Oryza sativa Japonica Group: one gene and its partners. The main gene of each other region encodes a partner of the protein of the gene in region 2 in a complex. Links are inferred from orthologs where the notes say so. Each region holds a gene or a part of one and is shown on either strand. Other genes may lie near its edges. The genes, in order: eukaryotic translation initiation factor 3 subunit K, eukaryotic translation initiation factor 3 subunit H and eukaryotic translation initiation factor 3 subunit A.

What was found.
Region 1: eukaryotic translation initiation factor 3 subunit H (region 2) and eukaryotic translation initiation factor 3 subunit K share a complex: the UniProt entries of both Arabidopsis thaliana proteins name them as parts of the eukaryotic translation initiation factor 3 (eIF-3) complex. The link is inferred for Oryza sativa Japonica Group from reciprocal best matches to the Arabidopsis thaliana genes TIF3H1 and EIF3K.
Region 3: eukaryotic translation initiation factor 3 subunit H (region 2) and eukaryotic translation initiation factor 3 subunit A share a complex: the UniProt entries of both Arabidopsis thaliana proteins name them as parts of the eukaryotic translation initiation factor 3 (eIF-3) complex. The link is inferred for Oryza sativa Japonica Group from reciprocal best matches to the Arabidopsis thaliana genes TIF3H1 and EIF3A.

The regions. Positions count from the first base shown.
Region 1 is NC_089037.1:4,350,522-4,354,624, forward strand, and holds the start of eukaryotic translation initiation factor 3 subunit K, read right to left. Parts: upstream 2,847-4,103; 5' UTR 2,713-2,846; coding exon 2,605-2,712; intron 1,901-2,604; coding exon 1,844-1,900; intron 1,758-1,843; coding exon 1,707-1,757; intron 1,610-1,706; coding exon 1,547-1,609; intron 1,125-1,546; coding exon 1,074-1,124; intron 992-1,073; coding exon 925-991; intron 387-924; coding exon 304-386; intron 47-303; coding exon 1-46. UniProt on the Arabidopsis thaliana protein: Component of the eukaryotic translation initiation factor 3 (eIF-3) complex, which is involved in protein synthesis of a specialized repertoire of mRNAs and, together with other initiation factors, stimulates binding of mRNA and methionyl-tRNAi to the 40S ribosome.
Region 2 is NC_089038.1:18,753,070-18,757,343, forward strand, and holds the start of eukaryotic translation initiation factor 3 subunit H, read right to left. Parts: upstream 2,922-4,274; 5' UTR 2,795-2,921; coding exon 2,785-2,794; intron 2,670-2,784; coding exon 2,560-2,669; intron 1,816-2,559; coding exon 1,699-1,815; intron 1,597-1,698; coding exon 1,493-1,596; intron 577-1,492; coding exon 510-576; intron 127-509; coding exon 1-126. UniProt on the Arabidopsis thaliana protein: Component of the eukaryotic translation initiation factor 3 (eIF-3) complex, which is involved in protein synthesis of a specialized repertoire of mRNAs and, together with other initiation factors, stimulates binding of mRNA and methionyl-tRNAi to the 40S ribosome.
Region 3 is NC_089035.1:1,178,592-1,181,219, forward strand, and holds the end of eukaryotic translation initiation factor 3 subunit A, read right to left. Parts: coding exon 2,606-2,628; intron 2,517-2,605; coding exon 2,436-2,516; intron 2,056-2,435; coding exon 1,854-2,055; intron 1,328-1,853; coding exon 819-1,327; 3' UTR 536-818; downstream 1-535. UniProt on the Arabidopsis thaliana protein: RNA-binding component of the eukaryotic translation initiation factor 3 (eIF-3) complex, which is involved in protein synthesis of a specialized repertoire of mRNAs and, together with other initiation factors, stimulates binding of mRNA and methionyl-tRNAi to the 40S ribosome.

The DNA of each region.
Region 1 (4,103 bases), on a different chromosome or scaffold from region 2:
GGTGCTCCAGGAACTTGTCCAATGCAAGACCCTCAATGTTGATGGCCTGAAAAGAAAAGTAATGAGTTTCAGCCAACAAGGGACAATCCATGTGCGAGGCAACCAATAACACCTAAATGATAGCAAAATTTGGATGATGATGGTGACACTTCTGGCGTAACAAATATTTGTAGCATTAGTAATATGAAACTTAATATTACCACGAATCCTTGGTCATCTAAAGTTTAAACAAAAAGGATTGAATGAAAACTCATGCTCCCTCGAGGACTCGTGTAATAATTAATTTAAAATGACATCATTTACCTCCGCAAGAACAGGCCTAGGAACTTTCTGGTATGTCAAGGAGAGCACATGTATCGCATAGGATTGGATTGCCTGCTCAAAACCTGTAAAGGGATTAGTTAAGTAAGCCTTCACTAGTGTTTCAAAAAAAAAAAACACTTCACCATTAGGTCAAACGGAAAGAATCCATATCAATTGCCATAAGAAAGTGTCCAATATAGCAAACATTCATAAAAATAATCCATAGGTAGTTCATGTTAGATTAAAAAGAATTCCTCAGTAGTCAGTAGAAAGAATCAAACAGAAGTTCGCTCAAGACTGCTTGATATGGTAACCAATCTCTGGGCATCTAGGATACTAATACATACTCATTTACATGACAACGCGGGCATGAACATGCCACATAAACACATGGTAAACGTCTAAACGATGATAAGTCACAAAGTTACTTTCTAAAATATGAGTTGTGCGAGAAAATGCTGAAATAAAGTAATCAGAAAAGGTACAGTTTATCAGTCACACCCAATTGGCCAAATCAATCAGGAAAATGGAGGGGGAAATACCAGTACAATCATCTAGCTTGCAACAATTACCACTTCACAACGTGTGAACAAAACATGGCTCCAATTCCACAAGACATACCTGGAACAACATCCAATATGTTGCGGTTCTTCGACGCCTCATCCCAAAATTGACGGAACCTAGCAGTCTACAAAGACGTTGATTGCGGTTAACAGTGGTTATCCCACTAACTGTTCAACATATATACAATAGTCAAGCCAGATACATACCTCCAGGTAGTGAGAGAGAACTATCAACGTCTTGAACTGTTCCTCCATTTGCTGAAATAAGAAGAGCATAGAGGACAGTGGTCAAAACTCACATGATAAGAGAACAGAGCCCAACAAATAAAAGAACTAGATGTACAGCTATAATAAACACAATGTATAAAGTATTCGGGTCTGTTATATCTACATATCTAAGACTAAATGGGCAAAGATTGTTCCCTTGCACAAATATTTAAATTCCAAATCCATGGTGAATATGATTTTATTCCATCAACTACATGTTATTATATATATACATTGCACATCTCTAGGCATACATATATGATAATGTTATTTCAGGGTCAATTTGGCAATCACCACCAAAACAAATAGATCACTGGGTATCGATACTATTTAAGATGCATCCGCAATAGCATTTTATTAGATAGATAGTTTTTGATGCGACATATACATGAGGCAGGGAATTGTTTCCGTACCACATGCTCTGGAATTAAGAATAAGCATAGGCTGAAGTCCGGGCCTGGCATTGCCATGAGAGCCTGTCAATAGAACAACATAAAGAGAGCAAAACAGTTGGAAGTGATCAACAAAAAACCATTGTTTATTTATTAATGTTAACATTAGTTCTTTTCTGACCTTAATCAATATGCGAGATACAATCTGCACACTCAACCTTTCTGGTTCGAACTGCAAAGGGAAACGCATCATTAAATAAACATATAACTCGAGCCAAAATATGGGTAAAAGCGGTTTGTACAGAGATGGACTGTCACCTGGTACAGACGAAGAAGACTAAGATTTGCATCCAAGTTATATGTTTGGTTGGAAACCTATATGAAAAGAAAAGGTCGGTAAATTTGAAAGCATTAGAACCAAAAACTTATGCTGGAATAAAACAGATGAGCTACAAAAGATGCATGCACATACTCACAATAGCTAGAGCACAAAAAAAAAGGTCTGTTGAGTTTGTTTCTTTATATGCTGGAATAAAACAGATGAGCTACAAAAGATGCATGCACATACTCACAATAGCTAGAGCACAAAAAAAAGGTCTGTTGAGTTTGTTTCTTTATAAATCGTAAGCCAAACAGCATGTCAAATATTGATATGAATGTGTGTCATCTGACCGAAATCTCCATCTTGCCACTTTCATGACCAACGACAACAGATATTATCAATTGAAAATCCATCAGTTAGCATTGAGATGACTGACAATAAGATTTATTGATGTACCAAACAGCAACCATTCTCTTTACAAGTGCTGCCGCTTAATTCACAACTCCTCCACAACGATGTGCTCCACTACAGTCTGCCCGAAAAAAATACACAAATACTGCTATTTCTAGCTATCGCCATAGCGCATATGAATCAGGATTTTTTTTTTCATAGGAGAATTTAACGATTTGCGGACCATGTAAACATGAGAAGGCGCGAGGCTTTTTCAGCACAGCCACGGACCAATCCTTCGCAAAATTCCAACAATCACACGAACAAAATCAAACGGGGCCGCAAGTATCCCATGGCTAGGGTTTACCTGATCGTTGACGAAGCCCTCGAGGTCGTTGAGGATGTCGGGGTTGTAGGGGTTCACGGCGACGAGCTCCTCCACCGTGTAGCTCTCCGCCGCCTGCTCGCTCGCCATCTCGGGGAACCCTAACGCCCGAATGCTAGAGTAGATCTCGCGCGAAACCCTGGGAGCGGCGAGAGGAGGAGAGGAGAGAAGTGGCGGCGCGGCGGAGGGGGAGGCGATGGAGAAAAGGGTTTTCGGGTTCGTGCGAATTTTTTCGCTTTAGTCCCTCAGCTATCCTTATACTCCTACTTCGTGTGCCGCGGATGCAAAAAGATGCTGGTAGAAATGCGCATGTGCCCTTCCAAGGTTTGGTTATTTCATGGACACCCCTGCTAATAACCAAAGGTGTGGCATAAGCAACAACTAGAATTGCTAATCCTAACAAAGGTGGTGTTCTTTTCTTTTAAAGATGAAGATAAAGATAGTATTAAGTGTTTTATGTAAAACGAGATGGTATTGAGGTGTTATTAGTTAAGTTTTAATCAATACAAACTTGATGAAAAATAGATTAATTTGATATTTGAGAGCAACTTTCATATAGAAAGTTTTCGTACGAAACACACCATTTAGCAGTTGAAAAGCGTGCAGCGTGTATCAAAAATTTTATCGAACTTTTGTTGGAGAAAAGAACAAGGCCTTGCCACTTTTGAAAAAAAAAATTGAAATAGGAGCCTTTAGAAAAAAGTGGATCCATTTTATTCATTCCATGATACCAATCTATTAAAAGTACCATGAGTTCATGACGACGATTTATTTTTGGTAGGAACCATGATATTGATACTAGTAAATACGCTCGAGCAATCACATACGATTGATGTGATGACACGAATTATATTTCGTCTTTTTTACATGCGGGACAATTATACAGATGATGAACATCCTTACGATCCTATCACCTACTTCCTCCGTTTCATATTATAATAATTTCTAGCATTACCCGCATTTAAATATATGTTAATGAATCAATACATATATATACGTGCCTAGATTCATTAACATATACTCCCTCCATCCATAATATAGAAACCTATAACTAGATGGGACACTTCATAGTATAATGAATATGGACAGGAAGCATGTCCATATTCGTTGTACTATAAAGTGTCACATCCGGTATTAGGTTGTTATATTATAAGACGGAGGGAGTATATGAATGTGGGTAATGCTAGAAAGCCTTATAACCTGAAACAGAGGTAGTACGTAATTATTAAATCTATCACAATTGATAATAACATGACCTTAATTTGCTCATGTTTGAAATTTTGTTCCCATGACAAACCATCTGATGAAGAGCTGAAAACCAAAATTTAGTTGCTACTATTATTTATTTCTATATTTTACACACCAATCTAAAATACTATTGTTCCTCACAAAATTAAAGCTTGCAAAGTCACAAGGATACAAGATCCACACACACAATCCCACAAACTTTACACAGGCACTTTGCAGGCTTGCAGCACAAC
Region 2 (4,274 bases):
AGTTAAACCATTGTTACGGTAAAGATCCATGAATGAATCTGTGAGTTTCAAGGCCTTGAGAGCTAGAACCCCCTGATTTGACCTAGATGGGTCATAAACGATGCACACACATCTCCGGATATTCTCCTGTAACATGCAAATGTTATGTTCTGCATGCAACATCGCAGAAAATTACGCAACTCTTATGACCAACTCATAGATATTTGATATATGATATGCATGTACTGCTGCGTATACTACATTGGATGTACAAACAGGTTAGATATTGTAATGCATACAGAGACTTAACCTTGATTCGTGTCAAAATAGGTTACATGCTAATTAGAGAAGCTAATTAGGTGCACTGTTTGCTGTCCTATTTGTTTGTTCATGCTGTGCTAGCTATTTTGAGCTAATTAATGCGCAAGTTGGCCTAAAACTATTACTGCAGTAGGTCAACAAAGCTGGGAGAGGATAACCCAACAGCAATGGAAAGATTGATCAATTGCACCTTATTTATTTTTGCATACCTGATAGTTCATAAACGTTTCAATCAGTTCCACAGTCTGAAAAGATCCAAGCAAGCAAGATTGATACCTGTACACAGGCATGGGAAAAAAAAGGGTCAAAACATGAAGCAGAACAGGCTACAGCTTTGTTGGATGATTATGATAGTTGTATGTGCAAAATCTGTTAAACAAGTACAACAAGAATGGAGGTTAAAACTTAAAACCACAACATAAATAATACAAATAATAGGACACATCACTTAAGCTCAAGATGAAATACGTTGGATAATTAGTCATTATTGGAGTTAAAAATATAGCAAATATTTTGAACGAGGCATGAAACAGCTAGAATGCAACACAGGTTAATATGTCGTTAATGCAACTGCAAAAGACTGGAAAATACATCGAGTAAGCACAAAACCAGCCACTTTAAGGTCAATGTTAACCACATACACGATAACTAAAGGTTGCTACCAGAAGCTTGATGATGTTTGGTTGCTTCATGCAATAAGAAATTTAACACTCTCATGAAGTGTTTCCAAAAGAGGATTAGATAAAATAATCAGTCCAAGCAAACAAGCAGAGCACCATTGATTTTAAACAGAGACAAGGTGAATACATGACACAAACAACATTTCTATACATGTATGCATAGAGGCAAAATTCCACATTTATTTTGTTCTCACTTTTCAGTGTCACATACTCAACAGCATCACTAAACTATGTTGACAAATGAGCATATCTCAATTTAGTTTGCCTGCATTATTAACTACAGCCAAAGATGTTAGCAACATTCCAAAAATATAATAATGAACAAACGGTCAGAACAAAGAAATACGAATGAACTATTTATGCACATATAAATTAAAGGCAGAGGATCAAAGACTACAAAAACAGAGTTGTAACACGTGTAAACTCAAAGGCTGCTCGCAGAAGCACGCGGCAGAGGTTAATTATCATATGGAACAACAGCAATAGGTATTGAATGAAATGTCTTATCATACCATCCAACAGTGTTATTGTCAACATTAACCTCCCTCAAGCACCTCATCATCTCAAGCTGATAATTTGCACCATCTGCATCTGCCTCTTCATCATCTTCTCTCATCTGTGGTCAAATATTAAAGTAGCTGTTAATCTATAAACTAAACAACCACAAGAATACTCAAGTCATATTAAAAGAAATATGTTATAGATGTTAAATACTCACTGGGAAAGGAAAACAGTTCGTTACTTCCAGAACACTGCCAACATCCAAACCAAGCAGTTGGCCTGTAACTAGAGCAGGTGCAAACTCCTCACAGTGCTTAATGATCTTCAGGACAGCCTGCATGATTGAGAGAGAGAGAGAGAGAAATTTGTGAGTGGAAATATAAGAGTACTATACCTAAACATGCCTATTCAAACACAGGGCAAAAGAAAAATGCGGCTGGCCCTCAGAAAATCATCCAATGTAAAGGTGCAGCAAATTTGATCTAGTAGAGTATGGTCAACATAAGTACATGACTAAAAGCAACATGTGTGTCGTGCAATATGGTTGTGCTCCACTAGAGCACTCTTGGAGGCTCCTATTGCGCTGCGAATCAAGCAAGAATTTTCTCCCACCCTCTGCTCTCCCTAGTTTCTCCTACACTTCTTCTCAACAATCACAATGCAGATGATCACTTTCTTTTTTGCCGGAATGACCGAAGGAGGTCATTCAATGTAATTAATTAAGATAGGAAGTCTTCCGATCACTTTCAAATCATGTGTAGAAGAAAACATTGTAAAAGGGACAACTATATTCGTAATAACCTCACCAAATCCCTCCAGTTCCAGAGCCAAAGGACCCCGATCTAATTACACGGCAAAGCATGTAATTACCTCGATCTAAAGAGCTAAACAACACATTTGGGTGAAGAGAAATCGCACACTGCGGGCGTTTCATCACACAAACAGATCCTCCCGAAATCAAGAGCTTATCCTTACTTCATCCCAAGCGCAAGTCGCCCAAAACAAACATGCTAGCATAGCGGACGCGCTTCGAATTCTACCAAGGGACAAAACGGGAGGGGAGAAGAAAAATAATCACCAGGCCCTCCATCTGCACGACGCGGAGCGGCGACGGCGCCTCCTCGGTGACGGTCGACACGGCCTGCAGGAACGACCTCGCTCCCCCCGACGGCCCTGCTGCTGCTGCCGCTGCAAACCAAACCAAACCGAACCAATTAAACAAACCACCCATTCGCCCCCAGAGTCGGAAGCGGAGCAGGACACAAGAGAGGGAGAGGGTAGGGCGGTTCTTCGTCTCGCTTACGATTCGCCATGGCTGCTCGGGTGGTGCTCGACGGCGACGGCGGCGGCGGCGGCGGCGAGGAGGAGGAGGAGGAGGCGAGCTAGGGTTTAGGTCAGATTCGCTCGTGTGTCGACTCGAGCCCGATTTTGATGTGCGGCGCAGATTGTGTCCCGGGCTGGGTTTGTTCACGGTTTACGGGTGGTGCCGTACGCTATCTAGGAGCCGTTGGATCCTAAAATTGGCGGCTGGGATTGAAGGGGTTGAGACTTGAGAGGTTTTTTTTTTTTTTTTGACACCTGAAGGGGGTTAAGAGTTGCCACTTGAGAAGTTGAGATTGAGAGAGTTCAGACAAGGAGCACCGGATTGCCATCTACTAGAAAAAAAACAATTGGTGTAAAAAAAAGGAAGAAAACAATTTGTGATGATAAAAAAAGAGAAAACGTTGTATATGGTGTAGGAAATTAGTTATTGTGAGAAAAATAGTTATTTGTTAATTATTATATTTTGCTTGTATCATTTCATTTATACTAGAATTTATGATTTTTCTAAACTAATTATATTATATGGTTTCATTTATACTGGAATTTATTTTTTAAAAACACTAATTGTATGATTAATCTGAAATATTGTTTTAAAAAATACAATGACTTATAAAAATAAAATGTGTGAAGTTCGATTATATATCCTTCAATTTATATTGAATTAGAAATCAACCTCCTAATAAGTCTACTTATCAATTTTCGGTCCAAAAGGATGCCACACTATCAAATCTCGCAAATAGGGTCGATGTGTGATCAAGAGGAGAAGGCCATTCAGCAAATTTTGATAGGTTGTCTTCTCATGACAAGTTTGGTATCTCCTCTTTAGCCGTTATGGTTGTGCAGATCTTCCATCACGACCAAAGGATAGTTATTTTTGTAAATGGTGGATAAAGGTCAATTCTATTATTCCAAAGGTGCTCAAGCATGGCCTGAATTTTCTCATTACTTTGGAAGCATACACAAAAAAATTGTGTGTTTAACGAATCCTCTCCTTGCGTGTAGTTGGATTTCAGAGAAAGGGTTTTTTTTAGTATATAGCAAGAGTTAGGGGCTTGGCTTAGCTAGAGGTAGCGGGTGGCTAGAGTTGTTTTGGTGTCTGTGGTCGCGTCCTCTTTAATCTTGAGTATTCTTATGGTTTTCTCCTTTCTTTTTTTTTTGGCACCACAGTAGTGGGGATCTTATGTTTAAACCTTTTTTTCTTGCGTGTTCGATAAAACTAGCGTCATTTATAAACGATGACATGATCATAGACTCATGATCTTGCAAGAGATAGCAAGTATTATCTATTGTTATTTCGCCATTGCAACCTATCCATCAGAACTCAATTCAAGATCGGTATTTACTTAATAATTTATAGAGGAGAGGCCGATGTTCGAGTTCTTCTGCCCTCTCTATCCTAGAATGTCGACACCTTCACGAAAACTCCTGGTTCTCTATCCGAGTAAGAGATGACAATCATCAACTACTGGG
Region 3 (2,628 bases), on a different chromosome or scaffold from region 2:
CGATAAAAGGAGACAAGCGAACGCATCCTGCCTCCCAACTCCATTCCGAGTTTCTGATTACCAGATGGATTTACTGGGCAAAGCCAATGGGATGCCAAAAATGACAACACTCATCGAATTTTGGCATGATGTAGAGGGATGGCATTTCATGTTGTACAGTTCAGTTCATTGCCATCCATACTTCTATGCAAGGTCAAACAGATTGGCAGTCTCATACTTCTATGCAAGGTTAATGTTTTACTTGAGCAACATTGGAGAACGTTAATGCTTTACTTGAGCAACGTAGGAGACCGCGGATAGGTAAGGTTGTATTTCCGGTGCAAATCGAGCTCCGAAATCCCAGTGCATCAAACTACCAACTGCTAGCAGTGCGTTCCTGCTTGGGGTACACCACCATGATTCATGTTTCCGCCAACTCTTCGTCAAAGCTTCATCCGAGTTTGGTGTTAATCAAGATCAACAAGTCATATTAGTTTGATGATAATCAAAAGAAATGCGATGTACTTGTAGCAACGACCAAACGAACAAAGACACAAAGACAAGGGCAATATTCCAGTATTACTAACAGCGCCAAAGTTTGGACAAACTTAACGAGTAGCAATCCAGTGTGCAATGGAGTAACTGCAACAACGAAATAACATTTGACATAACTTAGGAAAGGTGCTATTGCCCTGAAGCAGGTCCTAACTCCAAAATTTTACGAGCATTTGATGCGCAAACAGTCAAACATTCAACCATGTTTCACAGGCTTATCTCAGCAATGGCCCTGGACAGCAAAAAATCTCACCCTAGCAGTCCACATCTGAAAGCAGACGGCTTCAGTTGCGCCTGCTGCTCCAGGTTGAGGAAGATGATGAACTTGAGTATCTTGAAGGTCGCCATGTGCCTGGAGGACCATCTTGGCGGGCTGGGGGAGCAGCATCGCGAGCAGGGGGTGCCTCTTGGCGGAGCGGACGCATATCAGGACGTGGGCGATCATCCCGTGAACCCCAACGGTCTTGCTCAGGTGCCACAGCAGGTCTCTGGCCGCCAGCACTACTGCCACCATCACCACCTCGTTTAAACTTCGGGACATACTTACCAGCAGCTGGTGCAGCAGCGGCAGCAGCAGCAGCCGGTGCAGCTACCGGCTGAGCTGGCTGTGCAACCGGAGCAGCATCAGGAGTGCGTGCAGGCTCAGCAGCTCCAGCTCCTCTTCCCATGAGAGCTTCCATTCTCTGTTTTTCCTTCTTCTCTTCTAGTTCCCTCTCTCTCTGCAGCTGCTTGGCTGCAATTGCATCCAGCTTAGCCTTCCTCTCAGTCTCTTCCCTCTTTCTCCTCTCTTCCTCTGCAGAGAAGGTGAAATCATTATCAACAATATGTATAAGCTAGAATTTGATTTCATTGCATCAGGCAAAAAAAAAAAGATCCGCAAGATAATTATGCACAAGCAAATCACACTTTGATGCCAAATAACATTTTAAGTTTTAAAGCTATCCATTGTCTAAGGGCTTGTTCACTTTGATGCCATTTTCAATCTTACCAAATTTTGTTAAAGTTGCAAGAAAAGTGGCTACATTTAGTTTGTTGCCAAATTTTGGTAACTATATAAGAAATCCTGCTAAAATTTTGGCAAGTTGCCGAAATTTTGGCTATGCCAAAATTTGGTAAGGTTTTTTTTGGCATCAAAGTGACAGGCCCTAAGTAACACAGGTCCATACTGCAGTAAAGTCACAGTAATTCAACAAGCAATGTTCACTAATTCTCAAGAAATTCCAAAATTAGCTGGACGATATATGGCAGTGTAAATTAATCTAATCTAATAAGGTAAGATAAGAACAAGTATTTCAAAGCACAAAGTCATGAATTCTTGCCTTCACGTTTTCTAGCTTCCTCTTCCTCACGGAGCCTTTGGAGGCGCTGCTCTTCTAAGTTAAGATAGTACATTAACTTCCGCACTGTATCCCTTTCACGCTTCCTTGATGATATCAATTGACTAGTCCTTTCATCCCTCTCTTTCTTAAGACGACTAAACTCAGCTTCACGACGTTGGACAATTCTTTCCTGGAAAATGTTCTGCAAGCAAAAAGGGCAATTTAAAATATGTGCGAAGGAGAGAAGACAGCTGTCTATTCCCTGACAGGAACAAATCGCCTGGTGTATTCAAATGTCTAGTGCTCAAATCATGTGAACACACACATAGCCAAAGAAGACATGCCAATATTAGATTCTCAGCAAGTATAGCACATATTATATGTTAAATTAATCTGTATCTAATCAGACCTTTGCACAGATAATATACTAAGTATTTCAACTGTTATGCTTGGAATTGCAAAACATGGTTTCGGAAAAACACAGGATTAATTACAGTGGGACATTTGGTCCTTCAATTAACTAAAAAGAAGATGAAATAGTGCAAGAATATCTGGTCTGAATACAGATATGTATTTGCTTACCTTATGCTCCAACATTCGAGAAAGTCTGTTCTTCTCCTGCAGGTCACCTGCATGGTGTTGCTTGCTGAGCTCAATCTCTCTCTACAAGAAGAGATTAATAGTGATTTTTGTGAGCTTAAGTAATCATATGCTATTGTAATGTGACAATCAAGGAATTGTGAGAAACAAACCAGCTGCTCTTGCTCATGAAGGA